Linked DNA regions of Coturnix japonica. The protein of the gene in region 2 purifies or fractionates together with the protein of the main gene of each other region. This does not show direct contact. Links are inferred from orthologs where the notes say so. Each region holds a gene or a part of one and is shown on either strand. Other genes may lie near its edges.

What was found.
Region 1: the proteins of PRPF3 (region 2) and SART3 purify together in Homo sapiens (affinity purification with mass spectrometry; 5 studies listed by BioGRID and IntAct, counting the BioPlex papers as one, with this or other methods). This does not show direct contact. The link is inferred for Coturnix japonica from reciprocal best matches to the Homo sapiens genes PRPF3 and SART3.
Region 3: the proteins of PRPF3 (region 2) and SF3A2 purify together in Homo sapiens (affinity purification with mass spectrometry; 3 studies listed by BioGRID and IntAct, with this or other methods). This does not show direct contact. The link is inferred for Coturnix japonica from reciprocal best matches to the Homo sapiens genes PRPF3 and SF3A2.

What each region holds. Positions count from the first base shown.
Region 1 is NC_029530.1:5,663,311-5,673,324, forward strand, and holds the start of SART3 (squamous cell carcinoma antigen recognized by T-cells 3), read right to left. Parts: upstream 6,457-10,014; 5' UTR 6,202-6,456; coding exon 6,034-6,201; intron 4,796-6,033; coding exon 4,669-4,795; intron 4,083-4,668; coding exon 3,978-4,082; intron 3,828-3,977; coding exon 3,643-3,827; intron 2,771-3,642; coding exon 2,665-2,770; intron 1,911-2,664; coding exon 1,786-1,910; intron 1,586-1,785; coding exon 1,430-1,585; intron 1,142-1,429; coding exon 1,003-1,141; intron 680-1,002; coding exon 572-679; intron 157-571; coding exon 79-156; intron 1-78. Other genes in the region: ISCU (iron-sulfur cluster assembly enzyme ISCU, mitochondrial), read left to right, coding at 6,511-6,597, 6,674-6,787, 7,121-7,231, 7,954-8,032, 8,249-8,340. UniProt on the Homo sapiens protein: U6 snRNP-binding protein that functions as a recycling factor of the splicing machinery. Promotes the initial reassembly of U4 and U6 snRNPs following their ejection from the spliceosome during its maturation.
Region 2 is NC_029540.1:1,891,609-1,901,622, reverse strand, and holds the start of PRPF3 (U4/U6 small nuclear ribonucleoprotein Prp3), read left to right. Parts: upstream 1-4,798; 5' UTR 4,799-4,925; intron 4,926-7,940; 5' UTR 7,941-7,977; coding exon 7,978-8,122; intron 8,123-8,869; coding exon 8,870-9,000; intron 9,001-10,014. Other genes in the region: MRPS21 (28S ribosomal protein S21, mitochondrial), read left to right, coding at 1,024-1,106, 4,315-4,495. UniProt on the Homo sapiens protein: Plays a role in pre-mRNA splicing as component of the U4/U6-U5 tri-snRNP complex that is involved in spliceosome assembly, and as component of the precatalytic spliceosome (spliceosome B complex).
Region 3 is NC_029543.1:1,221,406-1,231,419, forward strand, and holds SF3A2 (splicing factor 3A subunit 2), read right to left. Parts: upstream 6,010-10,014; 5' UTR 5,953-6,009; intron 5,131-5,952; 5' UTR 5,080-5,130; coding exon 4,954-5,079; intron 4,549-4,953; coding exon 4,477-4,548; intron 4,158-4,476; coding exon 4,111-4,157; intron 3,508-4,110; coding exon 3,398-3,507; intron 2,763-3,397; coding exon 2,713-2,762; intron 2,569-2,712; coding exon 2,428-2,568; intron 1,922-2,427; coding exon 1,853-1,921; intron 1,667-1,852; coding exon 1,334-1,666; 3' UTR 1,190-1,333; downstream 1-1,189. Other genes in the region: AMH (muellerian-inhibiting factor), read right to left, coding at 1-343, 452-549, 651-898. UniProt on the Homo sapiens protein: Component of the 17S U2 SnRNP complex of the spliceosome, a large ribonucleoprotein complex that removes introns from transcribed pre-mRNAs.

The DNA.
Region 1 (10,014 bases), on a different chromosome or scaffold from region 2:
GAAGAAAAATACTGTTTGTGGATGGCTCTTGAAAAAAATATTATGAACAAAGCAGGTAATACATTGGATTTAACTTACGTTCTTCTACTTCTTGTTTCAGATACTCCACAGCACGTGCAAATGCAGATCGCAGCTCTTCAAGTTCTTTACTTGAGTCTTTAGAGAATAGAAAGAAATGCCTTAATATTACCATTTTCATTTCTTATCCCCTAAAGCCTCTTCACTAACACCCATGGATGACTTTATTTTGGCAGGAAATGAAACAGATACAACTTGCTGCTTCAGTAAAACTCACTATATGCAAACTAAAAAACAAACAGCAACAAAAGTTAACACAAGCAACAAAGCCCATCAAGTAGCTAAAATACAGATCAGGGCATTTTTGTGCTATTCCTTCAGCAAGGAGCTGTTCTAAAATAGTTGATATTTTATGGACAGTAACTGGGGGAGAAAGCAGCTTTTGCGAGAGATACAAAACTTGTGTTTTTCTATATGCTTGTTTTTAATAGAAGTTCTGTACATCTGAAATAGTGGCAGCAAACAAATGTATATTCAAATGTACCGTATATACCTTGTGTAAAATCCACCCTTCTTCTTAGGTAATCAAGATACGCCTGCCAGATTTCTACATAGTCAGTTGCCTGAATAAAGCCTGCATTCAGAGCCTTTTCAAACATGTCTGAAAGAAACAGAGGAAAAAAAACAACCAAGCAAATATATATTTCCTTTTCCATTGTATTTCAAAGTATAAGACAAAGAAAATACAGTGAATTAGTTAAGAAATTCAAGGTAAAGCCAATTTAATTTAGCAGTGTTCAAGCAAAGTTGAAATGAAGCACTTGCTCAGTAGTGAAGCTGCTCAACCAACACAGCTGTGCCTTAGAAGCACACTACTGTAAATGTCATCAGTTTTAAGACTGCTGCAGAAAGGTTGCAACGAATTCTACAGGTCACACATCAGTTCTGCAGTGTAAAGAAATACTGTTGAGAACCTTTCCATACCAGAAATAATGCAGTGATCAACTCCATGCCTCTCCATTGCTAAAAGATACTGAATCCAGAGCCCAACCGTCCAGGGACAGTTCCTGACAGCACGGTCATGAGCAGACAAAACCAATTCTTTCACTTTCAGCTGCCGGTCCTGAAATAAATCACACACCAAAGTTTTAAACTCCTGTTAGATAAAAAGCCCACCCAAGACAAATAGCAGCTTAAAAAGCTAACAACTTAAAAATATATATGGATCTTATATTTGAAAATCTAAAGACAGGACTGGTGTTTTAGATTTTACACACATAGGAACTCAGTGAATGCCCTCAAAACAGAAAGGAGGAGCAGAATAAACAGTAACTCTGTGCCATGTTAAGTCTGGCAAAGACATAAACAAAACCCCACAAGGAAAAAAGCCTTTTATTTTTCCCTTCCTTACCAAATACTGATTGTAGCGTGCCCACAGGTCTGGTACAAGGCAGTTCTCAGCCAAAGCCCTCTCGTAGATCAACTGAATGCGAGCTGGATCACCAGCTTTCATTTCAAAATCAATGTAAGCTTGGTATTCTGCTAGCTTCGGTGTTTCAGCACCCAGCTACAGGACATGAAAAATAGAAGTCTTCTAAACAAAGCATGCTTCAAACAGCTCAACTGACTCAGTAGGTCCTGCACAACATTCCAAACTTGAACTTGGCCTCTACATTTCAGCAGCTCTGTCACTTTTAGTGCTGGGAACTACATTTCAGCTTTTGATTTAATTCTTAATTTTAAAGGAATGTATAAGTAACAACATACCAGTGCCTCCTCGTATGGTTTACACTTCTCCAATTGCTGTAGAGCCTTTTTGTAGCTCTTTATTGTTGTTTCTGGTATTGGATCTTCGGACCATTCCTCATACTCAGCATATGATGTGTCCATATCTGTTAAAAAAGACACGAAATCGCATCACTAATGCACTCAACAGACTAAATAATTGGAATTCAATCTCTGCTTGATTCTAACGTGGTCACGTTTCTGTTTATAGTTTTATTCCTTAACTGTCAGACTACCATATGACTAAATGATTCAGCTTATAGGTGTAATTTGAACAAAAACTTAGGACAAGTTGCTCATAATCATTAGCTTTTCCTTTACAAAACCAAAGTTGCAAGATTTTCTCAGGGCTTTAAAGAAGAAACCAACCTAGATGCTTTCAATGGAAAAATAAGGAAGTTTAAGACCTTTTTCCTGTATGCAGATAAAGAAGCAAGAAAAGGGACTTGAGGAGTTTGAAGTATGAAACTGATACAGCAGGACTATCAATCCAGCTGTCAGCATGTATCATTTACCTATCAGCCAATGCTCGTACACAGTGAGCTTCTCAGCTGAATTCCTAGCTCCTAAGGGTCATGCTTTGTGCTAATTACTTGTACTTTAAACAGCCTGAATGACCTCAAACTATGCAGCATGGAAACAGATAAACAAAGTTTCAATGACTACGAATATTTCCGAACAAACGGGAAATGTGCATCATTCAAGGGGCCCCAAAGGCAGGCAAATGTAATTGATCCATGAATACTCAAATCCAACAGCTGCAATTTGTGTGGCTCTACCAAAAGAATAATCACAATTCATGCCTACTTTGCCATAATACAGTTTATCCACGCCAACTCCCCCAAGCACGCAGGCTCTCACCTAACAGTGGGATCCCCAGCTGGCGCCTGAACAGCGTGTGGATCCTTTCAAGCTGGCTGCAGAGCATCTGCTGCTGCTCAGGCGACGGAACGCTGCCAGGAGCTGGCTGCAAACAAAAGGATTGAAATTTAATCAGCCCCCTCAAGCCTGAGTTGATGGACACAAGGGGGTATTGTTTACGGGTTGGTGATCTGGGCTCCAAACCACTACTACATGATCCTTGAAGAACACACATGGCCAACTTGTATTTCACGTGGCTGCTGCTAAAGCTAAAACCTGGAAACTGCTAGTCAGAAGCTGACGAAAGTACAAAGCATCCCCCAGTGAAAGCAGACACTGGGAAATGATAACCTGGAGAACAGTGTGTGATCATTCCAATTCACAAACCTACAGATAGGTTTTCAATAAATCCTTGATGCTTGCAGAGATGCTTTAAAACTCAATTCTTTTCTTTTTACAAGCAGAAGAGCATTCCCCCATTACTCCTCTGCATGGGCATTTCAATACTGACCAACTTTCACGTCTTATGTAGCAAGCTACAAGGAAACAGAAATATTGACATTCTAGTCATCTCGCAAAGTCTGATGTTTCAAAAAGGGTGAAACAGTGAATAAATTCAACACTGAGGCATAAGGCAGCCTAGAAACGCAAACATCACTGATTATGGGCAAAAGTATTCACTAGAATGAATAATAATGCTTAATAATGAAGCTACTTATTCTTGTCAGTACAAGCTAAAGAAGTAGAGTAGTTTTGCTTCTGGTTGTGAGGTTTTATGAACATATTTTAACACACCTCCACTCTTACAGAACACAGAACATTTTTCTCAGTCCAAACAGTCAGTCTCTACAGCTGAAAAGAAACAACTGAGTGACACCACAGCCTCATTTCTCCAAGGAGACTGATAAGCAGCATAAGGTGACTTCGGAAGCTCCACCACAGCCTCTAACTGACAGCAGCCCATCAGACCAGCCTTACCTGTGCTGTCTCCAGGATGGCATTCTCAAACTCACGGTACGCTTCCCACAGAGCTGTTCCTTTTGTCACGTGCAGCCCAACCGCTGTCAATGCTCTCTCAAATATTGAGCGAACTTTCTCAATTCCTCCTTCCTGACCAATGCCACCGATTGAATACTGGGCATATTCCAGCCAAATTTCAGGACCTAAACAAAGTTATGAGAAACAGGAGAGCTGATGTCCTCGAAAATACAAAGGCATCTCAAATACTTATCCAAAGGCATAGAAATTGTCTTTACTATTCAGTATAATAGACCTTTAAATGTTTTTTTAACTCCCACACATTAAGAACTTACAGATGTAATCCTTCACGGCTCTCTCAAACAGCTCATAAACTTTCTCTCGCTCTGAGATCTCAGAAGCCATTTTTATCTCATCCTTCAACCAGTCCAGCCAGATTTCTGAAACCAAGAAGTTTACAGTCACCAACGCTTGGAAAAAAACTTTTCCCTTTACATTTTTGGTTATTTTTTAATAACAGGCTTAAAAATGGGGATAGAGAAAATGGGGAGAAAAAGAGCAATTTTAAGTCCCCGCATCTACACACAATTAGTTTAAATGAAAAGTTTGGTACTGATGTCTCCAACCTAGTCCTAAGCAAGTATGCTTCTATTTAAAGAGAGATGAAGCTGTGAGCAGCAATTGGTCAGCACCATGCACAGAGAATGCACATAGGCCAGCAAAGAGGCATTGAGTGGCACAGTTTCCTTCTTTTTTACAAGAAACAGCAGATGGCTTTAGAGGCTGCAGGTTCCCACATGCCTAAGAGGAAACCTTCACTTGCCAAAGCTAAAAGCCCACTGCCAGGTATTTATATTGTTACAGTGTTAACTATAAATAAAAAGAAAGGCCTGCTTCAAGTTGAGTTCAGAGCTTCAATCTGATCCTTTAGGCTGGAACAGCATGGCTGAAACCTGGCACAAAGAGTATTTCACACTGATGATGCTTCATCAGTATTACCAGCTGCAAGGAGAAGCAGCTCTGTACCTTCAGTAAGTGGGAAGAGTTCACTCATCTTCTGCCGAGCTCTTCTGAGCTTCACCAGCTCTCCCTCTTGGCGGAGCAGCTTTATCAGATCCAAGTGGCAATTGTAGTCAAAAGCATTGATGGAAAGCTTTAAAGAAAATAAAGGAAGTTTTTAAAGGCTTGCAGAAGTCAGCAAATACTCAGCAGAACAGAACTTTACACACTGTTTTCTATGTGTCACATCCCTGCAGTTCTTGAACACCTCCAGGGATGGTGATCCCACCACCTCCCTGGACAGCTTGTCTCAATTCCTGACTGCTCTTTTGAAGAAGCAGTCATTCCCAATACTCAACAAGAACCTCCCCTGGTATAACTTAAGGCCTTTGCCTCTTGTCCCATCGCTGTTATATGGGAGAAGAGAGCAACTCCCACCCTGCTACAACCTCTTTTCAGGGAGTAGTGGAGAACCATCCTACAATTCTGTGATCCCCAGCTCCCTCAACCTCTCCCCATATAGCTCGTACTCCAAACCCTTTACAGCTCTGCTGCCCTACTCCAGACATGCTCCAGGGCCTTGATGCCTTTCTTCTGTAGTGAGTAAATTAAACGCAGCACTTAAGATGCCTTGCCTTCACCAGGGCCAAGTACAGACAGACATTCACCTCCCTGCTCAGTTACACAGAATCACAGAACTGTAAGTGACAGGAAAAGGCAAAGTCCTCTGAGGATCCCTCAGTCCAACCCTCCCCCCAGCAGGTAGCATTAGAAAGCATCCCAGTGGATCCTGAGCATCTCTAAAGAAAGAAACTCCACCACCTCCCTGGGCAGCTTGTGTCAGGGCTCTGTCAACTTCACAGCGAAGAAGTTATTTCTCACGTTCAGATAGAACTTCCTGGGTTCCAGTTTGTGCCCACTGCCCCTTATCGTGTAGCTGGGCATGGCTGAAAAGAACCTGGCCCCATCTTCACGATTTCTACCCTGACAAGTGCTGCTCCCTCAGCCTTCCCTCCTGCCTCAAGGGCAGCCTCAGGGCTCCTCAAATAGAAGCTGCAGGCCCCGACCACCTCTGCAGCCCTTCATAGAAGATCCCTGTTACTAAAGCTGGGCTTTAAAGTTCTGCAGAAGACTGAACTCACAGCCCTAAGGCCCGAGAGCCCCCAAGTACAGACACAGCGCTAACACCCAGTGAGCCCTCCTCAGCAAACGCGTTTTAATTCCTTCAAGATCACTAAGGAAACCACCATCTGAGTTCACTTTCAACATACCAGGGCTGCTCCCTGAGTCTCTCTCGCCCTGAAGCGAGGAATAAAAAGCGAATTAAAAGGCATCACGCCCGGAGGCGTTTCCAGATCTCCATAACCAAAGCACGGTACAGCCGGGCCCCACCTGCTCCTCCAGCCGCTGGATCTCCGCCTCGTTCTCCTTCTCCTCATCCTCGCCGTCTCCTGATGAATCCGAGTCGCCTTCATCCTCCGAATCCCCCCCCGACTCGGGGTCTCCCTCCACCACACGCTTCTCCTCCTCCACCGCCGCCTCGGCTCCCGCCGCCGCCATCTTGTTGCAGCTCGCCTCGCTGCCGGCCGCTCTCAGCCAGCCGATGGGGTTGGCTACTGCGCGCCTGTCTCAATATTGTACATTCCCCCCAGCCAAAAGCGGTGAAAGAAAGGACGATAAACTCTCCCGACAAGGTTCTGCTCTTCTCCGCGTCCAACTGCCACGAAAAGCCGAGCAGCTCGGCCCGTTACTCCTTATAATTTAGTCTGCTGCAGAGGCAGCGCCACGGACACCTCAGGGCCTCGGCCTCCAGGGGTCCTTCGGGAGGGTTGGGGCAGAGCGCCGCTGCCAGGTGCGGGCAGACTCAAGATGGCGGCGCTGAGGGCGGCGGGGGCGGCGCTGCTGCGGCCCGGGCGGGGGGCGACGGCGGTGGGGGGGGCGGGCTACCACAAGAAGGTGAGAGGGGCCGGGTAGGGCTGTGGGGAGCCCATAGTGCCCGTTGGGGGTTGTTAGTGACACGTTGTTCTCGCAGGTGGTGGATCACTACGAGAACCCGCGGAACGTGGGCTCTCTCGATCGCAACGCAAAGAACGTGGGTACGGGCCTGGTGGGAGCCCCGGCCTGTGGAGACGTTATGAAGCTGCAGGTGAGGGGAGCACGGGGTGCCCTGTAAGGACACAACCATCAGTGTCTGCCACCATATGGCTGTGACATAGGATTCCTCCGTCACACCCCCTTTAAGCCCCTCTGCAGGCCCTAAAATCCAATAGACCCCCAGCCTTAAACTCGCTGTCCCTTTACGCCCCTCTGCAGATCCTAAAATCCAATAGACCCCCAGCCTTAAACTCATTGTCCCTTAAAGTCCCTCTGCAGGCCCTAAAATCCGATAAACCCCCAGCCTTAAACTCGCTGTCCTATCGCTGTCCCTTTGTGTGTGGTTCCTACGTGGAACTGAGCGCCCCTCTGATAACTCCCACAGGTGGAAGTGGATGAGAACGGCCGCATTGTTGATGCTCGCTTCAAAACCTTCGGTTGTGGTTCTGCCATCGCTTCCAGCTCCTTGGCAACAGAGTGGGTGAAAGGGAAGACGGTAAGGGCTTGGCTTAAGGGGCACAGTGGGGAGCAGGTACATATTCACACCCACTGCTGGGATCAGGGAAGGAAACAGGGGTCTAGAGAGGTGCTCTCCAGGTGTTACACTCACATAGAAGCTCAGAATGCAGTTTCATCTTTCCTGACTTTTAAAGCAATATTTGCCTTTTCTGGAAGTCTCCAATAAGCTGTGAAGAAGCTTTGGGTGCTACACAGCAATCGAAAATAGATAAAGAAAGCACTTGTATAGTGGAATGTCTTCCATTGGCTGATCTCCGTGTGCTTGGCATTGTGACAAGCAGGTTGTTTCTATATTACAGCAGAACAAACCTGGAACAGTCCCTGCAGTTGGTCAGCAGTAAAATAATGCTCTGGTTTATTAACAAGCACTGCACACTTTGAGACATTCCTTATATTTCATAGAATCAGGGGTTGAAATGGACCTCTGAGTATCACCTAGTCCAGCTCCTCTGCCAAAGGAGGTTCCCTGTAGTAGGTTGCAGATTTGTTGCTTGGCAGGAGCAGAATAAAACAGGTATTATTGAAAGGCCTTTCTTATGGTAGAACACTATCAGCAGCTTTTACTGCCTTCTCAGAGCGTGACTTTGGTTGGTTCCAGTGCTTTGAAGCACACCTGTATCAAATACCTGCGTGGTGTGTGGGCATCATATGTACATGTGTATGCCTGACTGATGACTGTACCCTACCCATACATTTCAGATTGATGAAGCATTGAAAATCAAGAACACAGACATTGCAAAAGAACTTTGCCTTCCTCCGGTCAAACTGCATTGCTCTAGTAAGTAAAGCATCAAACACGTTGTTATTTGAGAACACAGATGCTTTTGTACGTTCTCCAAATAAAGCTTTGCACACATAGCAGCTAAGGCTGACCCACAGTGGTGGTTATTGCTGGCTGCTTCTGCTTGTACTGCATCTTTTGTTCTAAGTGACTTGTCACTGTTATTTAAAGTGCTTGTAAATGACATTGTTTTGTGCTCTTTTTCTCCCCTAGTGCTGGCTGAGGATGCAATCAAGGCTGCCTTGGCTGACTACAAACTGAAACAGGATCCAAAGAAAGGAGAGTCAGAGCAGAAAGCAGACTAATTCCTAAACAGACTGTAGAGGTTGTCCTCATTCCAGTTCAATTTGCAGTGCAATTATTCTAGCTGTTAATAGAATCCTGTGCACTACTCAAGAAGCTGTAAGATACGCACAACTCAACGCACAACGTGTCACTGGTCATGTGTGTACAGCCACCCTGGTAGTGCTTAAATGACTGGAACGTGGGTATTTCAGCAGCCTGTGTCCTGTCAGGATTGGTTTTGAAATGGTGAGAGTGAAGGGCTGCTCTGCTTCAGGGCAACCCCCCGGTAGCTTCTCAAGAGAGAAAGAATCCTCCTGTTCCAGCATTGGAAGGGCTGCACTTTTTTTCTTCTGTATAGTTTTGCCTAATGTTTTACAAAGAGTTTGGTGGGAAACTTGGTTGCCTTGGTCTTTATGTGGGTCACTTTGTCAATCAATACAGTATATATAAATCTCATGTGGTTTGGCTGCAGCTGTGTTGGAGTTTGGTTTCACAATCTGTGACCTCTCACATGCTGTCTATCCCCTGCGTCACGCTGCTCTCTGGGAGGAGCTGGGATGCTTCACCAGGCACTAGAGGGCACTGACTGTGGGAGGTGAGCAAATAACAGCAGCTGCAGTTGGTTGCCAGGAAGCTCAGAGCCAGCAGCGTTAGCAGGACATGTTTGTGTTCACATCCTCCAATAGCAGGAGGGTTAATGTTGGAGCATCTTTTAAAAGCATTCAACCCTTTAGTTTGCCAAATACTGTTAAGGGAGATTAAACACACGCTGAGGATTCAAACCCAGAATGCAAATAGCTTAACTGGGATGTAATACTGAGGGGAACCTCCCTGGAAGAGCAGGAGTCAGCCTGTGCCCTCTGGGGGTGTCTTCTGAACTTCCCCCATCCCTTCCAGGGCAGAGAGAGCAGCCAGTGCTCTTGGTACTAAGCCAGGGGCAGAAGGGGATCCTTACCTGCTGCTGGAGCTGATTTTGGATGCTATTTCTGATAGCTTCTGTTGTTGCCTTTGGTAGTTTTAGGGCTGGATTCTCTTCATTTGTGGAAAGAAACCTCAAAAACACAGCCTGGCAGATACCTCCCCCGAGCAGCTCTGTGTGCACAGCTAAAGCTGCTCAAACTGCTTCGCTGGAGGAGTGAGTTATGAAGAGAGCACAGGGGTAGCACTCACCAAGTGGAGGATTTGCCCACCCACCACATGAGCTGGGCTCCTTGGGAGCGTGGGGCACAGAGTCAGTTCAAAACAGGCGTTTTATGGCCACACAGCATGGCTTACCCTCTGTTCTTTAGACCACTGTGCTCCCCTGTGCCTCACAGCGATGGCTGTTTTCCAAGGGAGTGTTGCCACAGATCTTCAAATCAAAAGAAAATGCACTTAAAAACCTCCCTTGCTCTTATAACATCCTCACCCCACGCCCCACCCTATCTTCCTTTCCAGTTTTCATACCTATGATGTTGCACAGCTGCATTAAAAACAACATTCAGTAAAAATAAGTGGCTCGTTCTGGTTTCTGTCTGCAATGTAATTATTTTTTGAGTTATTATTTTAAGTTGTTGTCACTCCTGTTTGGGGGAATCCTTTGGTTTCCCTGCAAAATGCTGTCAGCTGGAGTAATGGGGATATATTAAAAGCATAGAGCGACATTGGTAAAAGGATGTGAGGTGTAAGGATAGATGACAGCAGATACAGTTGCT
Region 2 (10,014 bases):
GGGAGCAATAAATGGCAGCAGAGCAGCCGGGCTGGGCTGTGACAGCATCCTCTGTACTCATTCGGGGTGTTATATGGGGAGGGGGGGGGGCTGTTTTGGGGCTGACGGGGTGTGGGTTTTGTCCTCTTGGGCTCTGGTGTCCCCTGAGCTTGGCTTCCATTTGGGTCTTGGTGTCACCTCTGGGCCTGGTGCCCCTCCAGTGCCCCCCACCCTTGGCCCAGTTGCCCTCCTGAAGCTGTTGTCCCCTAAACTTCATGTCTCCCCCCATGGGGCACAGTGTCCCCTGGGAGCTCCCCTTGTCTTCTGGTTCTGTTGTCATCATTGAACCTGGACCCCATTTGGGGTCCTGATATCAACCCTGAGTCCTGTGTCCCCTGGGGCCGCTGTCCCTTGGATCCAATGCCTCCCCCAGTGTGCTCCAGTGCCCCCCCCCGGTGCTGCTGTCACCCTGGGGTCTTGTGCCACCCCTGGACCCTCAGTCCTGCTGTGTCCATACCCACTTGGACCATCATCCCTCCAGGACCCGTTCCAATATCCCCCATTGGGTCCCCTATCCCCTCTTTGGGCTCAGTGTCCCTTAGTCACAGTTGCTCCTTACCATGACTTGTACCTCCTCCTGTGCCCTGTATCCTTTAGGACCCCATAACCCCCAAGCCCAATGTCTCCCTTGGTCTAGGGATCCCCTGGAGCCGACCCCAGCCCCACGCAGTGCCCCCTACCCAAGACCCCATAGGGATACCCGGAGGCGGAGCCTCACTCTTGGCTCCGCCCACTTTCACTCAAGCCACGCCCCCTTTCATTCAAGCCACGCACCCAGCGACACGTGTCGTAAGCTCCGCCCGTTTCTCTTAGCCACGCCCACTTTGCGTTAAGCCCCGCCCCTTGCGTTAAGCCCCGCCCACAACCGGTCCCGGTAGCGATTTCCGGTTCCGGGGCGCACTGAGGTGAGTGTCGGTGTCGGTGTTTCGTGGGGTCTCGGTACTTCCGGGGTGACCGGGAGATCCCGGATCGTTCCCGTCGGCCATGGCGAATCACCTCCGCTTCATCGGCCGAACCGTCATGGTGCAGAACGGCAACGTAGATGCGGCCTATGGGGCGCTGAGCAGGTGAGGGGCTGAGGTTGGGCCTGGACGGGGGGCGCTGAGGGGTGGGACTGAAGGGAGTTCATACCCCCCCCATCCCCTATGTCCTCCCATTGACTTGCATTGGCTGCTCTATAGGAGCTCAGGGCCCCATTTGTGGCCTTGGAATGGGAGATTCCTATAGGGCATCTATAGGGCATCTCCTATATACTGCCATCTGAATGAGGCCTCGATGCTCTGCCCTGCTGCTCATTGGGGCTGTGAAGTCAAGGAAAGGTGATTATGGCCATAAAGTGCTGCCCCAGGGGCATCCCTATATGACTATGTGCTCCATTGTACTCTATGGCACATCACAGTGCATCCCTATATGACTATGTGCTCCATTGTACTCTATGGCACATCACAGTGCATCCTATATGACTATGTGCTTCCATTGTCTGCTATTGGGCACATCAACAGTTGTCACACACATTGATATGTGCTGCCTGTTACTCTATGGCATCATACAAGTGCATCCCTAAATTATCACTATTGCTCTCTCTGGTAGAACTTAGGCGAACATTCACTAGTGCATCCTATATGGACTTATCTCCAATTTAACTCTATGGTACTCACAGGTGCTTCAAAAGTGCTTCAATTTGCTGTGGGGTGTCATAGAAGCTTCCTATTGGGACCCTTCTGTTTGGTCTCAAGCACCCTAAATTGCACCCAGAGCTCTCCAGTTTGCTCTGTAGCCAAAAGGTGCTGCCCCAGGGGCATCCCTATGTGCTCCAATGTACTCTATGGTACATCACAGTGCTCTCAGAGTGCTACATTGTGCTGTGGGGTGTCCTAGAAGCTTCCTATTGGGACCCTTCTGTTTGGTCTCGAGCACCTTAAATTGCGCCCAGAGCTCTCCAGTTTGCTCTGTGGCCAAAAAGTGCTGCCCCAGGAGCATCCCTATGTGCCTGTGTGCTCCAATGTACTCTATGGCATGCCACAGTGCTCTCAGAGTGTTTCATTGTGCTGTGGGGTGTCCTACAGGCTTCCTGGGGGCCTTTTGGAACCCTTCTGTTTACTCTTTAGCACCCTAAATTGCACCCAGAGCTCTCCAGTGTTCTCTGTGGCCAAAAAGTGCAGCCCCAGGGGCATTCCTATGTGTTCCAATGTACTCTATGGCACACCACAGTGCTCTCAGTGTGCTACATTGTGCTGTAGGGTGACCTACAGGCTTCCTGGGGGCCTTTTTGGATCCTTCTGTTTGGTCTCGAGCACCTTAAATTGCACCCAGAGCTCTCCAGTTTGCTCTGTGGCCAAATAGTGCAGCCCCAGGGGCATCCCTATGTGCTCCAATGTACTCTGTGGCACATCACAGTGCTCTCAGAGTGCTACATTGTGCTGTAGGGTGTCCTACAGGCTTCCTGGGGGCCTTCTGGGACCCTTCTGTTTACTCTCGAGCACCCTAAATTGCACCCAGAGCTCTCCAGTTTGCTCTGTGGCCAAATAGTGCAGCCCCAGGGGCATCCCTATGTGCTCCAATGTACTCTATGGCACGCCATAGTGCTCTCAAAGTGCTTCATTGTGCTGTGGGGTGTCCTAGAAGCTTCCTATTGGGACCCTTCTGTTTGGTCTCAAGCACCTTAAATTGCACCCAGTGCTCTCCAGTTTGCTCTATGGCCAAATAGTGCAGCCCCAGGGGCATCCCTATGTGCTCCAGTGTACTCTATGGCACATCACAGTGCTCTCAGAGTGCTTCATTGTGCTGTGGGGTGTCATAGAAGCTTCCTTTTGGGACCCTTCTGTTTGGTCTCAGGCACCCTAAATTGCACCTAGAGCTCTCCAGTTTGCTCTAAGACGCTCTGCAGGCTTTCTGCTGATCCCAAATGCCTGACAAGTGCACCCTAAACAACTCCTAGAGCTCTCACTGCTGTTTTGGGGTCTTGTAGCACAATGCTGGTGTTAGGTTGCTTCAAGGCCAGGCTTTTCCTATGCAGCCCCAGGGCCATCCCTATGTGCTTTAATGTATTCTATGGCACCTTCCTCCTTATTGCAGCCCACTCTTGGTTGCATTCTTATGGAGTCAGAAGCACTTGCAGAGCTGCAGTGACTTCAGCTTCCAGCAGCAGAAGGATTGCTTTGAGTCCTTGCAACCTCACACATGCAGTGAGGAAGAACGAGAACAGAATGCAACAGCTGTAAAGTTTGGGAGCAGACAGCAGATCTTTGCATTGCGCTGCCATACTCAGGGATCTATGCAGGGCTCGGCATGGAGGAAAGAAGCTCATTTATTGTGGGGTGGGCGAGCAGGGAGAACAAGAAGTGATAATGAGGTTTGATCTTGTAATGCAAAGCTTCAGCAGGCAGAAGGGGCAGCAAAAGGGGGAGATATAAAGGCTGGATAAAGGACAATTAGAAGCAGAAGGGTCAGTGAAAGGGGGAGATTTATAGGCTGGATAAAGGCCATTAGAAGCAGCTGGGCTGTGTTAGGAAGTGGCCATGAGGGAGGAGAAAGATGTTGACCTGCAGAATCAAACTCTATAATCCAGAGATGGGTTATAAAGCAGGTATGTTTATTCCAGCATTGCGTAGCGCCGGGTGCAAGGGGGATAGCTCCACCAAACATGCACACCGACTTGTAAAATCATGACACAGATCTAGGTACACTTAATACATAGTCAATGATTTCTGATACATATTCAATGATTTCTTAGACTTCTAATACATTGTCAATAGTTCTAGGAATTCTGATACATATTCAATAGCTCTTTAGCATGCAGACCCCCTCTTGTTCTTATCAGGGGGAATGCAACTCCTCATCCGTGAGGTCTCACTCCTTATCTGCATCCTCCCTGCTCTCCCATAGAATCACAGAATGACCGGGGTTGGAAGGGACCTCAAGGATCATGTAGTTCCAACCCCCCTGCCTGGCAGGGCCACNCAAGGATCATGTAGTTCCAACCCCCCTGCCTGGCAGGGCCACCAAACATACACCTTTACTAGATCAGGTTGCCCAGGAGACCCCATAGATCCCCATAGAGACCCCATAGATCAGGTTGCCCAGGGCCCCATCCAACCTGGCCTTGAACACCTCCAAGGACGGGGCATCCACAACCTCCCTGGGCAGCCTGTTCCAGGCTCCCAGGCCCCTTGTTTCTTTTACTTGTTACCTTTAAGTTTCTTTTACTTCTTTCTCTAAACTACCTTTAAGTTTCCTGCTTCACTCTTCAATGTGACTCATGTTCTCCCCCCACAGGATCCTGTCTCAGGATGGCATCGTTGAGTCAGTGAAGCAGGGCCGGTACTACGAGAAGCCGTGTCGCAAGAGGCAGCGCTTGGCTTATGAAGCGTGCAGGCGTGTGTACAACACTGAGATGGCCCGCAAGATCTCCTTCCTCGCCCGCAAGAGTCGCATGGACCCATGGCTGGGCTGCTAACGGGGTTACAGCCGTCTGTCCTCATGGCCGTCTGTCCTTTGGGTGCTGCTGCTGTTAATAAATGCTGTGTGCAGCGCTCTGCTTCGGCCACGCTCGGGTGTTGCGGTTGGGGGTGGGGGGAGAAGCGCTGGGTTTTGGGTTCTGGGTGGCGTTAATGGGCCGGGCTGGTTCCGCTCGCCCCCACGTGGTTATTTCCCGCCACGCGGGGCGCGCCTTTTCCACCGGTTTCCCGCGCTCTCGTGTCACGTGAGCAAAGCGCGCGGCTTCACTTCCTTCCTTCCATTCTTTCCCGGCAGCCCTCAGGCGGGCGGGACGCGCATGCGCAAAAAGATCCCCGCAGCCATTTCCGCTTCCGCCCCGACGTGCCGTCGCCGTCAGGCCCGTTGTCGCCGTCCGGGCCCGGGGCCTGCGGGGGCCGCGCCCCGCCGCGGTGAGAGGCCGCGGGGAGGAGGGGAGGGAGCGGCTGAGGGGAACGGGGGGGGGAAGGACCGTGAAGGAGCGGATCTGAGGGGACTCGGGGCCCGGCCGTGACGCGGGGTTGCGGGGCGAGGCCAGGCCCCTCCGCTTGGGCCCAACGGGAGCGTTGAGTTGATGCGCTTAAACCCGGGGCTGAGGTTGGGGCTGAGGTTCGGGGTTGGGGTTCAATTAACTCATAACGTTAATTAGAGCCGCTAATTGAAGAGGATCCCTTCAGGAGTTGTGGGAGCTGCCGGGGAACCGAAGGGCTGCGGTTGTTGTGGTCTCAGCATCACGTTAACCGTGTTTTGGGAAGCACCGGAGGGATGTTGACAATAGAAGGACACGGGGAAATAGTTTGGAGTTAAAAGAGGGAAGATTTAGGTTGGATGTTGGGGGAAGTTCTTCACTAGGAGAGTGGTGAGGCCCTGGAACAGGCTGCACAGGGAGGTTGTGGATGCCCCGTCCTTGGAGGTGTTCAAGGCCAGGTTGGACGGGGCCATGGGCAACCTGATCTGTGGGGTCTCTATGGGGATCTATAGGGTCTCTGGGGTCTTTATGGGGATCTATGGGGTCTCTATGGGGTCCATAGGGTCTCTGTGGGGTCTCTATGGGGGATCTATGGGGTCTCTGGGGTTTCTATGGGGATCTATGGGGTCTCTGTGGGGATCTATGGAGTCTCCTGGGCAACCTGATCTAGTAACTGTGTGTGTATGGTGGCCCTGCCAGGTAGGGGGTTGGAACTACATGATCCTTGAGGTCCCTTCCAACCCAGGTCATTCTGTGATTCTGTGGGGTTTATGGAGTCTCTATGGGGATCTATTGGGATCTATGGGGTCTTTGGGGTCTCTGTGGGGTTATTGGGGGTTATATGAGGTTATATGGGGTTATGGGGTCTCTATGGGGTTATGGGGTGGATATGGGGCCTCTATGGGGTTAATGGGGTCTATTGTGGGTTGGAACTACATGATCCTTGAGGTCCCTTCCAACCTGGGTCATTCTGTGATTCTATGGAGGGATGAGGGTCAGTGGGTGCCTCCATGTGGGTGTTACCTGCCCGTTTTCTGCTCCTCTTACGCCCTCAAAGTCCCATAGAGCTCCCAGCACCGACGGCTGTAGGAGCGGCCCAATGATACTGATATGGGGGGGGGAGGGAAATACTATTGGAGCGGCTGCTCTTCTTTCTCCGTCCTCGTTAATTGCAGAAGTTGAAGAGGAACGTGAAGTTTAAGCCAAGTGTGAATTAATCCTGTTTAGCCTTTCTGAGCAAGCATGCAGAAAGCTGTAACGCATCAGCAGTGCTGATATGGCATAGTAATCAGTTATCTTGATGCATCTTGACGCTCAATTAACCTCACCTTGAAGTATTACCTGCTTCCAAGCCTGGACTTAATGATGAATTACTGTAATGATGCCCCTTTGGGCTGTATCTGATGCTCCTTTTTAATGTATCTCATTGAAACCTGCTGTAAAAGAATACAGGGCTGCAAGCTGTGTCCAGCCTTCTCCCTATGGATCATTAGGAGCTTCCCAGCTGATGCTTCAGCCCCTTTGCTGCTCTTTCAGATCCTTCTCTTGGCTGTTTTTCAGTCTCTAACTTGAGAAGCTCTTTGTTACCACATCCAGGATCTTTGCTCTCAGCTTTAGTGATGATAAGTGTATTTTGGATGCTGTTTGCTCTCATTTTAAGGTAAAGGCTCCACAAGGTTTCTCCCATGGGCATGAAATGTTGAGGTCAAACATATTTCCTTAAGAAGATTTTCTCCTGTTTCCAGATAAAGGAGACTTGGTTTCCAAATCAGATTAGTGCCTGGCTACGTAATTAAACATTATTGCATCCGCTTCATTGCAGCTTGTGTTAAAGAACTGCTAACGATTAACGGTGGGAAATTATTGTCTTGAGTCTGATTTGGAATTGGATTCAGTAGGAGCCAACAGGGCAGCAGTGCTGATCTGCTGCTTCATTTAAGCAGCAAACACAAAGGTAGTCAGGCATGTGCTGATTGTTAAGTATCAGTAAACCTAAATGAGATTGAGTTCCCCCTGGTCATTATAAGGGAGGCAGCCTAGAGCTGGGAGTGTGCTCGGAGTTGTATGGGAACCTTATGGGAATGGGAAGAACTCGAGGTGATCCAAGTGTGTGTGAGATGTTGCTGTATGTGTTTAAGGTGTTGTTGTACATGAAAAGCTTCTACTTGTGCTCCTGGAAGTGGTTTGTGGGGCATCTCTAAGTGGGCTGGCGTGAGTGTAGCTGACAGCTGATTCAGGCTGTGTTAGCAGGAGAAACCACGGGCTGAAGCAACACCAAGACCAAGCTTTTCTCCTCCTGTGTGTGAGAATCTTAGAATTATAGGTTGGATGTTAGGGGGAAGTTCTTCACTAGGAGAGTGGTTAGGCCCTGGAACAGGCTGCCTAGGGAGGTTGTGGATGCCCCGTCCTTGGAGGTGTTCAAGGCCAGGTTGGACGGGGCCCTGGGCAACCTGATCTGTGGGGTCTCGATGTGGATCTGTGGGGTCTCCTGGGCAACCTGATCTAGTAAATGTGGATGTTTGGTGGCCCTGCCAGGCAGGGGATTGGAACTACATGATCCTTGAGGTCCCTTCCAACCCGGGTCATTCTGTGATTCTGTAATCTGTGTGTGGAAGTGGATCCTGATTTACAGCAACTGGAACATGCTTGCCTTGCATTCTCCCAGTTCCCTTAAAGGAAGGGTGCTCTTGTGCTGGTCGGGGTTAGGACATTCTGCACTTCATTTCTGCATAAAACCCATGAGCAGAGTTTCTCTTCTCACAGTTTGATGTTGCATCTTGTCTGTTCTTTACTCCTGTGTTGCTCGTGTAATTTTAGCACATGTTTTAAAAACAAGGGAGTAAAAATAACCTCCAGGAGTTTTCACCAGCTGCAAGCCCTGTCTTCAATGCAACAAAACAACGATCATCTGATGCTTTGTCTTATTAATCTCTTCTTGTCCTGTTTGCTTTCTTGACAGGTACGAGCAAGAGAACTGAGCTCAGCTACGAGCAAAAATGTCGCTCTCCAAAAGGGAATTGGATGAGCTGAAGCCATGGATCGAGAAGACAGTGAAACGAGTGCTGGGTTTCTCCGAGCCCACTGTGGTCACTGCAGCACTGAACTGTGTTGGGAAGGGCATGGACAAGAAGAAAGCAGCTGGTATGTCACACAGCCCTGAGCTTGTGTCGGAAGCAGTCAGGCCCTTTGGCAGAAAGAAATGTATATAACATGCAGACAAAAACCAGATTCTGTTATGAAATGAAAGAGTGTGTGTTGGCATCCCCCATTTCTAGACACTGTGTTATGTTTGAAGCGGCCTCAGATCAAGTTTATGCTCTTTCCCTCCATCTATGGGAGGCTGAGCCTGTGCTGCTGGTGTGTAAATGCATGACAGGTTGTGGTTTCATTGCCACTCAAGGCTGTCAGTGTCTGGGAGATGGATGCCATCTGTGTTGATCTGGAGGCAGATTTGTTCAACACAAGCTTTTATGCTTAAAACCAAAGCTAAACAAACCCTGGAGCTCTCACATTCATCTCTGTGCACAGTGATAGGGGTAACAACTGACAGCCTCAGTGAGGCAGAGGTAAATATGTGCAGGTGAGACAAGTTCAAAAGCTTTGGGATGTACTGCAGAAACTTAATCTAGTGGAGGTCTGGACTCCAGTACAGTGAATTTAAACTCCTTACTGCAGGATGTCCTTTTGTTTGCCCTTTTTCTTAACTCTGGATGTCAGCATCTGCAGATCCCAGAGGCTTCCTGAGCCCTGATTGCAGGCTCCAGTGCATTAGTTGGGTTGAAGCTGTGTTTAAATATTGTTTTGTGGCTTTGCAGAGGTCTCTGTGAGTTCTCCCACTCATCCTGAGCTGTGAATTCTGCCATTGACACAACTTCTCTTCTTTCTCAGACCATCTCAAGCCCTTTCTTGATGACTCCACCCTGCGATTTGTGGACAAGCTTTTTGAAGCAGTGGAGGAAGGGCGAAGCTCCAGGCACTCAAAATCCAACAGTGACCGGAATCGAAAGCGAGAGCTAAAGGTGAGTCCAGGACTGATTATTGATTGTGGTTTATTGTTGTTTGGTGGCTTTGGAGGCAGCACTGGTACTCTGTCACACTTTCCTCTTCCAGAGAGGTACATCTTGTAATGCTTAAAGTTCAAGAGAAAAGACCCTTCTCCATGATGAAGTGTGTGAGCCTTTACCTTTCAGTTCTCTTTGCCTTCACACCAGGTAGCAGAACGCTGTCCTTGGTGGTGTCCGAGGTGGAAGCCTGAGCTTTTGGTTTCTTTAACAATCTCTGCTAGGCTTGTGCAACGAAGAATCTCAGATAGCAGGGCTCCATATCTGCTTCCTCTCCTACTCATGACTGTTGCATTTGGCAGTATTGACTCTTGACTGCCTTGCAAATTGGGGTAGTGTGTCCCACCTCACAGTAACTTCTCATTCCTCTTCCTTGCTCTGATGAGCAATGTTTCAATCTGCCAGCTGACGGTGCCCTTTTGCAAGTGAATGGGTGAGTGATCTGATAGGTTTTCATTCTCTTTTCCATCTGGAATCCACAGAGGGCAATTGTTGGCAACTTCTTCCCCCGCCACCATAGCATAAGGCTGATTACAGCAGGGATGTAATAGTTCTTTGGTGTTTCTCCCACCTAACGCTTGTCTGGGATGGGGAAGGCTCATGCATCCAAACCTGTTTTCACTTCCTTTGTTCTCTTGAAGACTTTACTGGCCACCTTCTGGAAATCCATTTTTTTCATCACTCGCATACTGAGTTTAAAAGTGGCTACTCTACATGCTGCTCCCTGCTTACAAAGTAAGTTTCCTTTGACTTTTTCTCTGAGGTTCCTATGTTATGGTAAACTGTATTGCTCTGTAAGTTTGTTTAGTCAGCACCTGAGCTCAGTTATAATCCTTTTCAGGTTTCAGTTTATCCCTCCTCAGATGTGTTGGGAGACTGCTGCCTTCGCTCCCCATTTTCTATTAGAAACTTGTTTTTTTTCCTCTCACTCTCTGAAGGGGGTTTTAATACCTGCCAGAGAAGGGCCTCCTC
Region 3 (10,014 bases), on a different chromosome or scaffold from region 2:
TCCCAGCCGGCGTGCAGCACCTTGATGAAGGCGCTCTCATAGCGGGTGAGGACCCCCACCACCTCCAGGTGGGATGGGGGCACCTTGTTGCGCTCCATCTTCAGGCGGCACACGGGGCCCTCCAGCCCCCCCAGGGGCCAGGGCTGCAAGCTGGAGCCGTCAGCCTGTGTGCAGCTTGCTGCAAGCTCAGGGAGGAGGTGAGAAGCTACGGTCATCTTCAGCCTCACTGCCGAGCCAGGTCGCTCTCTGCTCTCATTTTCCCTCCTTGCTCCAAGTCCCATCTCCTCTGAGAAGCTCTGCCCCAGCACAGCCTCTGCTCCAGGGGTTCCCTTTCTCGGCAGAGCTGCAGAGCGGAGCAGCAGCACCAGATATGGCAGCAGCACCCCGAGAACTGCCTTCATCCTCCCTGTTCCAACGCACTCAGAGCCGCCAGCCGAGCTGCCCGACGTACCTCTGTGTGAGGGAGGACTGTGTCTCCCTTTTAAAAGCGGTGGCCTTGAGTGGCCAACACACAACACACCTCCCCTGCGAAACACGGCCGCTGTCCCGCTGCAAAGGAGGGAGGGGTGGGTCGGAGGAACCCTCCTGTTCTATTTTTGGGTTTGCATCCAGTAATTTAAAAACGAAGAAAAGAAGAAAAAAAAACAAACCCAAACTGTGAAGCTGTTTCCTTTGGGTTGTTGTAGGGATGCACGTCCTTGAGTTGTTTTGAGAGAAGGGTGGAAGTCGGGGCCGGAGGTTTCGCAGGGATTGGCAACACAACATCCCCATCAGCAGCGACAGGAGGAGCGGGCTGTGCACACCTGCGGGAGGGGGTGAAGATAACAGGAGAGACAAAGGAAATGCCCCAAGCTCCCTCTGCTGGGTGCCTCCCCCCCCCAGGGCATAGAGAATGCATGTGTCTCCAGCCACGTGCAGGTGCCAATGTACCTGTACAAGCTCCCAGTGCATGGGCTCAGCCTCCTCTGTGTTCCCAGGACCTGTGCAGGATGGAGCTCAGGATACGGCCCCAGCACAGACCCAAAGAGCTCACAAACAGGAGGCTCAGCTGAATTGTTTCAGGCCCGTGATGGGCATCAACAGCTCAAAGAGCAGCAAGACGGAGGGAGCTGCCAGTGAAAGCTCACCTGGTGCTTTTCAAAGCAACCTCACAGCAAGATTTTAACCAATTACACGGGAAGACAGGGAGGAAGAAAAAGTGAAAACCTTTTAATGGACCTACAGGATCTAGTCAAAATCACTGGCATACAAAACAAAACTATTTTACCCCAATCAGTTGTGACCTGCATATAAAAAACTATGAGCCAGATGAGTCTGGTGGGTTGGAGAGGCTTCAGTTGGAAGGAGGTGGAGGGGGAATAGTGCCCGGCCCCTCTGTGGGGAGGGGGGGTCTCATCATGGGTGGCAGAGGAGCAGGGGGAGGGACACCGGGCGCTGGGGGGAGCTGAGGTGGCACTGGAGGGGGTGGGACTGGTCCGGTTGGTGGCATGGGGGGCAGAGTCATCCCTCCTGGAGGAGGTGGAGGCATTGAGTCCGGCAGAGGGGGTCTGGGGGGCAACCCGTTCATCAGCGGGGGTGGAGGAGGCCTCTTCACAGTCGGAGGGCCCGGAGGAAGGTTGGGAGGAGCTGGGGGCTTCTCCATTTTGAAGTGGAATTGAAGGAAGAACTGGGGAGAGGGAGAAAAGCAAAGAGAAGGGAACGATCAGCTCTCAGGACAACTTTGTGCCATCACACATCAATGATTTTAGCACCAAAGCCAAACAGATTGAACTCCATGGTCTTTTCCCCCAGGCTCTGCCCTCCCCCACCCCCTCTTCAACCCTTAAGAAAGATGCTGCCATGCTCCTGCTACCTGTTTGGTTTCCCTGTTCCAGTGGGTCCAAAACTTTCCCTCTGCTTTGTCGATTTCTCTGCTTGGCACCTGCAACAAAAAAGAACAGGGAGCTATTATTAGCAGCACCAGATTAGCTCAGTGGCCCTTTTTAGCACCAGAGCCCACCAGATAAGCAGTTATTCCAGGCCTTTGTGAGATGCGCTCGTCTCGGATGTTATTAGATAGAGATGGGGGCAGCAAAGAATTGAGTTACTTCCCTATCGGTCAAGGACAAGAATGCTGGCAGAAAAAACCCCTCTAAACATCTGCACAAAGGCTGAGAGCAGAGACCAGGAGGATCCTTTTTGCTCCAGACACTAAGAATTCAATGGCTCCCCAGAGCTCAACGCAGAGCCCGGTTTTCATGCCAGAGTCCTCCAGTAATTCTCAAGCAGAGTTTAACAACTTCCAGTCGTGTCTTCTTCACCTTCCTTTCCAGGCCATTAACCTCCCCAAAGGCTAAAACAGAACAAGTCTATGACGGCCATCACTGGGAACTAATGTCCTGGAAAATATGGGAACTCTCCCTGCCATCAGTCAGTCCCAAACATTACCTTGAAGGCGATGGTTTCGTAGGGCTCTGCTGCCATCAGGAGGTATTGCCAGCGCCGATCAGGGGGCTCAATCCTTTGCTCATACGCTGACATGAAGCGATGGCGAGGCATGATGCTTTCTGCGATCTCCGGGTAATCGATCTGTTGGGGTATTATGGCAGGTTTACAACACTCCTCCATACAGAACAAACTCTTCAGCTATGCAAGAATTCAAGGGAAGCTTCTGACTGCTCATTTAGCCACGTTTTTACTTGGATAACCCAGAAACCAAGAATCTGATCTTACCTGGAAGAGAAGGCTCTGCTGGCCTGTCTCTGGATCTCTCTGTTTGGTCACTATAGAGAAAATAAGAAAGCTCAGTACACTACATAAAGGTCAGTACAGTATTACTTCAGCCCTAGGAAGATCCAAACAGCAAAACATGACAGGATTTTGTTTCCTATTTATTAAATAAAATGCCACAATGCCTTCAGCCAAAGTTCCTGAGGGTATCTACTGAAATGCAGCTGCTGTGGGGCACAGACACTGACACAATATGCATGGAGATAAAGAAGCCATGTCTTGTACTGAAGGCCAAAATGAAACAGAGGGGAAAAAAACTGAGTTATACATCCAGTGGGTGACTTGTGAGCAATAGTATATTGCTCTGCCATAATAGAGATGGCAGAGCACAATAAAAGGGAAAGAGAGACTGAAGCAATGCCACCATCTCCCATATGACTACAGTAAGAACTGACAGAGACTGAGACGTACTGATCTATTATTAAAATGGCTCTCACTCGACTGTCAGCAATAAAGAGACAACCCATGGGTAATTTAAACAATAAAGGACATCAGGAGATAAGCCCATATCTTATTTATGGATAGCTCTGCTAAAAAGGCTGATGAACAATTCATGCCCACAGCACTGCACTTCAAGCAAGCTCCAGCAGCCACGGGGTATCTGCTATGACAGGCACTGCTGACAAACCTTTGTAACCTGGTCGTCCAATTTTCACAAACTTCTTCACTTCCACTTTGACTTTTTCTGGTGCAGGTTGGGCAGGAGCTTCCTTTGCTTCCTTGGCAGCTCGACGAGCCCTGGGTTCATTGGAAACGCGCAGTGTTAAATGGTTATCAGCACTTGGTTCTGAAGGATACTCTAAAAGGCAGAGTGAGTTCTGTATGACGGAGCATTCAGCACTTCACAGAAAGCATAATGGGAAACTGCTGCTCCTCCTCCACAAGCACCATGGGAGGCCAGTTCCACTCCTTGCCTTGACTACAATCTGTCACCTCCATCACCTCACCCACTCCTAAGAGGACTTTGATGTCCAGCTCCACAGATGGAGCTGAGATGACTTCTTAAAAGTCAAAAAGGAAATGAATTACACAAGCCAGGTATCTAAAGCAGAGCAAACCTGAATTCTTAGATTAAAGCTTACAAACTTTTCTCAAGCTGTATTCATAAAACAGCTTCCCTTACAGTTATACTTAATCTAAATGCCATAGCTGGCTTTGAAGTGGAGCTTGTCAGCACCACTGTTCAGAGCAGAGCTGGTGAATGCCTAGGAAACAAACAGAGACAAAGAGCATTCAAGCCCAGAGTGCTACTACATGATGGAGGCCAAGATTTATAGGTGCTCATTATCTAATTTTAATGTGCCCAAGTAATGGAGAATAACACGGTGGAGAATGACTTACAGATTGGTCTGATGCTTCTTCCCCTGCGTATGTGCCAGGTAACTTCCCTGGGGGGAAAAGAAAGTTATGAAGACTGAACTGTTCCTGAACAGAAAGATATTTGTCACAGATGAGAGGTGACATTTCACACTGACAAAGATATTTTAATCCTCAGAGCACAGCAGAATCAAACTCACAAATTTCAGATTGCTCACAACTGCTGAACTGTCAGAAACTTGTCATGCTTAACACACACAGCCTCTGCTCCCCCCATTGGCCCTCCAGCAATCAGCCAACGGGAACAGCTTCGGTTCCAGCACTTGGAGCTAGAATTAGTCTAAAATATCTGCTGCCATGGAGATCAAGACAGACAGCTGCTCAACTCACCTCATTGTTATGGAGCGTCAGGCAAAGCTTGCATTCATAAGAACCCAAGTGATTTTTCATAAAATAGGGGTCCTAGGAAGAGAAGGATTGAAAAGTTACATGTAAAATCTGCATTGGAACAACTGAACAACCGAGATTCTAAAGCAGAGCTGCACTGTAAGAACTCTATGAGCTCATGGAGTGAAGGGATCAGCACAACACTGCTTTAGGAATATAGAGAAAAAGGAACAAGAGCAGTTGTGTTCACTGGTAACAGCACACCCAACTGCAGCATAATAAGAACCAGTGCCAAGACTGAACATAACAGAAGCCCAGTGCTGGTATCCCTCTGCTTGGCCCTTCCACATGTTGCTCGAGTCCCTCATCAGTGGGAACAGAAGTATTTATTCCACTCCACAGATCCCCACTAAACCTCTCACTCTCTGCTGAGATGAAGCCCTGACCTCACCCCATGTAGCCTGCAGGACTGGGGCTCACCTTGTTGATGTCAATGGTCTCCAAAGCCAGTTGCCGAAGCCTCTCCCTGCGGTCTCGGTTGCTTTCTGAGGCTGAAGCTACGCCTCCACTCCCCGTTTTACCTCCAGGACGGTGCTGAAAATCCATGGTGGGGATTTCTGGGCTTTGGAGACTTCAGGAGAAAAATAAAATAAAAGTCTGGAAAAATGAAGAAAAGACACATAAGTGACAACACAGCCCTAAGCTGGGCCTCGCATTGAGCCCTGCCACGAGGACACGGCCCAGGCACTGCCATTACCTCAGCAAGAGACAAAACCACCCCCAGCCCACCTCTACCCTCTCACACAGGGTCACACACCCCCCAGCCACTAACATGGGGGTCACAACCCCCCAGACACCCCCTCACCCCCCTCTAAACACCCCCATTCCCTCAGCGAGCACCAAAGCTCACCTCAAAGCCCCCTACAAACACCCCCCGAACTCTCCATGCCACTTATAGCCCCCCAGTTTCCTTTTGGAGGGTCCTGTCCCTCCACTAAGAACCCCTCTAAGCCCCCTCACCCCCCTCATTCTCCAGTGCAGGTCACAGGCTCCATAGGTTCCATAGGCCCCACAGGCTCCATAGGTTCCATAGGCCCCACAGGCTCCATAGGTTCCATAGGCCCCACAGGCTCCATAGGCCCCACAGGCTCCATAGGCCCCACAGGCTCCAAATAGGCCCATATGCCACAGCCTCTATAGGCCCCATAGGCTGCACATGCCCCATAGGCCCCACAGCCTCCACAGCCCCCACAGGTTCCATAGGCCTCACAGGCCCCACAGGTTCCATAAGCTCCATAGGCCCCACAGGCTCTATAGGCCCCACAGGCCCTTATTCCCTTAGCGACGGTCACTGCCCCGAAACAATCCCCCACAGGGCCCAAGACCCCCCTCCAGACCACCCCATCCCCTCAATGAGGGTCTCACTCCCCCATATCCCCCCTTTAAGCCCCACATCCCCTCCCCCTAAATCCCCCATACCGCCGTGCTCAGCCCCGCTCCCGGCGCATGCGCTCTGCCCTCCCCCTTCCATCCCCTCTAGTTCCGGATAGAGCACTACCGGGTCGGGTATGGGTGGTTGTAGGGTTGGGGTGGTTGTAGGGTTAGGGGTGGTTTGTAGGGTTGGGGTGGTCGTTTGGGGTCCGACATGAGGTACAACGAACGGGAGCTTGCTGTCCTGTCCAGGCAACCGGCAGAGAAAGCGGCAGAGATCCATGATGAGGGTCCCCAAGAAGGGGCAGCGGTAGAGGGGGGGGTGGGAAGGGGGTGAGGGTGGAAGATGGGGGGGTTAATTGGGGGTGGGAATGGGGAGTGATGGATTGAGGTGTGGGATGGGGGTAATGGGGTGGGGGTGGGATGGGGTGGGGTAATGGGATGGAAACTGGGGGTATTGGGATGGGGCTGTTGGAATTGGGGGTGCTGGGGCAAGAGCTGGGGTGTTGGGATGGGGGTTGTTGGATAGAGCTGGAGGTGTTGGGATGGTGGTAAGGGATGGAATTGGGGTAATTGGGATGGGGGTATTGGGAATGGAACTGGGGTATTGGATGGGGTATTGGCATAGAGCCTGGGGGTGTTGGGATGGGGGTATTGGGATGGAACTGGGGGTATTAGGATGGGGCTGTTGGAATGGGGGTGCTGGGGCAGAGCTGGGGTTTTGTTTGGGATGGGGTATTGGGATGGGGGTATTGGATATGAGCTGGGGGTGGGATGGGGATGGGGGTGTTGGGGTGATAGGATGATGGGATGGGGGTAATGGGATGGAACTGGGGTTATTGGGATGGGGGTAATGGGATGGGGGTATTGGGATAATGCTGGGGGTGTTGGGGTGGGGACAGGAGTATTGGGATGGGGGTAATGGGATGGAACTGGGGGTATTGGGATGGGGGTGTTGGGATAGAGCTGGGGGTGTTGGGATGGTGGTAATGGGATGGAATTGGGGGTATTGGGATGGGAGTACTGGGTCAGAGCTGGGGGTGCTGGGATTGGGGTATTAGGATGGAGCTGGAGGTGCTGGGATGGGAGTATTGGGATGGAAGCACAGGGATCAGAACGGTGTACTGGGATAGGAGCGCTGGGATGACAATGGAAGTCCTGGGGTGGAAGCACTGGGATGGAAATGGAGATGCTGGGAGTGCTGGGATGGTTTGGGGGCCCCACACACGCTGGGCTCGCTGTCACATCACTCCTTTCCTTCTTCAGTGTTAAAGAAGCGCCTCGTGAAGCTCGTGGTGAACTTTCTCTTCTACTTCAGGACGGATGAAGCTGAGGTTCGGATCCTGCTGCTCCTCACACACACACAGATACACACACGCACCTTTTTGCTTCACGTTTATCACGTGTGCTCTGTGGATCAGTGCAACACGGCGTCCTCCCTTCCCCCTGCACAGTTCAGGCTCCTCGGTGGGGGTGAGGAGAAGCAGTGCCAGCAAACCACACCCTGCTGCTTTCTACAAACACAACCATCGCCCTACAGCAGCAAAAGCTGGACTCTGTCTCGTGTAGTTACAGACCTCACATAAAACCGAGGCTGCTAAAGATCCTCCTGTTCTAAAGATCCTGAATCAGCACAGAATAACCTTTATAATGAATATTTAACCCCGATCACGGCTCAGCTCTGTGCTGAGAAATGCTCTTTTCTTGTTTCTGTGGGTAACTGCCAACGTAGAACTGATGCACTGGAAACTGGCCCTCAAACAGGTGCTTCAGCACCAACGGCTGCTGCCTGATTCACAGTCAACCCCCCATTGAAATCCTATGTCCAAACTAAACAAAAAGCGAGAGGTTTTCATTTGTGGCTCATTCCACCCTGTGGTTCTCATGTCCTTGCTCAGTATGTGCTGGCTGGCAGCCTGTCCCTACAACTGCTTCCTTGTCCTGAGCTGTTCTTCATCCACACACACTGTTCTTTAACCTCCTGCAAAGCTCGAAGGCCGCCCTTAGGAAGTCAAATGTTAAACAGTTTATCTTTGTTCGATTTACTCTGCAAGGAAGTAAACTTTATCGCTGCCTTTGCGGGACAGAAAGGAATACTCAAACCCACATTGATTGTGAGCACACAGAGACTCTTTAGAGGACACTCTGTAAGCTCCATGGGTTCAGAACACTGTAGCTCTGACAGAGTGTGCTGAGCCCCCTCTCTTTATCTTTTCCAGCCCATTGGAGCGCTGCTGCTGGAGCACTGCAGGATCACCAAAGAAGAGGAGAACGTTTTCTCCATCAGTGAGTTCTGTATCTTTGTTCCCTTTGCATTCCCCTCGCAATGGCTCTCGGTAGAAGGAAACGTTTCCTGCTTTCTTCCTGCTTTTTCCCATTCTCTATCTGTGCTTCCCAACCCTCCTCCCCATCCATTGCTGGTTGGTGCAGAGCTGCCAAGCTCCAGCCCTGGGATGGCACTGTCTGCCTGTTGGTATGATGGGCACGGCTGTGTATGAAGAGAGGGGCAGGAAAAGCAGCCGGCCCACAGCTCAGTGCTCATAGCTGTCCCTCTCAGGAGGGCTCAGTATTGACAGATTGCTGCTTCTGTGCTGTTGCACCTTATCAAAACCACAAGCAGGCTTCAGATAAAGCATCTGTGGTGCTGATGGGGCAGCACTCCTCCCGCCGTGCTGTGTCCTTGTGTCGATAGCCGTGGCTCCAGCTGCCTCGCTCTGCGTCGGCCTTTCATCCCAACAAATAATCATTGTGCGAGAGGTATGTGGCAAAAATAACAGGATGTTTCTCCAAGGCCATCCCCGTATCTTTTGGCCTGGCAGTCAGGCACAGCTGCTTCTCAGTGCAGAGCCACCTCCCCGCTCCCAGCCAGCAGAGATGGAGTTCTGCCCATCCCACGCAGTCTGAATGCAGTCGGGAGCGTGTGGGGCTTCAGCATTACCAGAGCTCTGCTGAGCAGAGGTTCCCAAGAAAGGTGTTGAATGTGATGGTGCTTGGAGCCGGTCTATGTCCCGTACAGCAGCTCTGAGGGGTTGGGTGCAGCCTGACCCAGTTATTTCCCCCCATCTCTGTGCGCTGTGTACTAAAAAGCAGAGCTCTGAGGATGATGTTAATTAATTAGATGTCCTGATTCTGTCTTGGTAAAGACTTAAGAGTTGCGCAGGGAGTTGTTTTTCTGCTGTGCACAGTACTGAATTCCCCAGAGCCTCCAGCAAAGACAGGTCAGTACCTTCTTTTGAGTGTGATTTCATTCCTTGGATGGCCGCCCTCTGCACACCACACAATCTGTTCCTCGGGGCCATTTTCCACTCTGGTTACTAAATCTCCCCTGACGGTTTGTAAGGAGGCTCAGGGTGTTTCATTCTGCATTTGCCCAGCCCAGCTCCAAAACTGTCACTCTTTGAGAAGCTGCTTTTTCCCCTCCGAAGTGTTTGGCTGCTCTGAGCTGACAGGAGCTGCAGGCAGCTGCTCAGGGCACCTGGGAAACACAAAGCAGAATTGCCTCTGCAGTTGGTGTTGCCTTTGGAAGTGTCTCTCCCAGGCAGGAGTGATGCTGAAGGCTGCTGAGCTGTATGAGGTGCACCTCTGGGCCACCATCACTCCCATACAGCTCTAACACAACTGCATGGTTATGCACTCAGTGAAGGGAAGGGCAATGTTGAGGAGTGGCTGTTGTGTTTTTTCCAGTGCCTTTCTATCAGCAAACAGCTTCCTGAGCTGGATTTGCAAGTGTACAGGGGCAGGCTTGTCTCGGCCTTTGCTCTTAGCAGGCAGAGAAAGAGTGTGACTCCAAGCCATAGTTAGGAGCAAGACTACAGGGTAAGATGGAGGGGACAAAGGCCTGGGTTCCCACCTGGTTTTTAGTTCATCTTAGATGAACAGTGGTGCTATTTGCAGCCTATTTGAGGAGGAGGAGCTCTGCCAGGACCTCACACCTTCTCCTTCTCCTTGGCAGGTTTCATTGAGGAGCCAGAGAGGAAGTATTGCTTCGAGTGCGACAGCGAAGAGCAGTGCCAGGAGTGGATTGAGGCGCTCAAGAGAGCCAGGTGGGCTGAACCCCAATGAGAAGGGTCTGCTTTGTGCTGCACATCCACTGCAGCTCCACATTGTTTG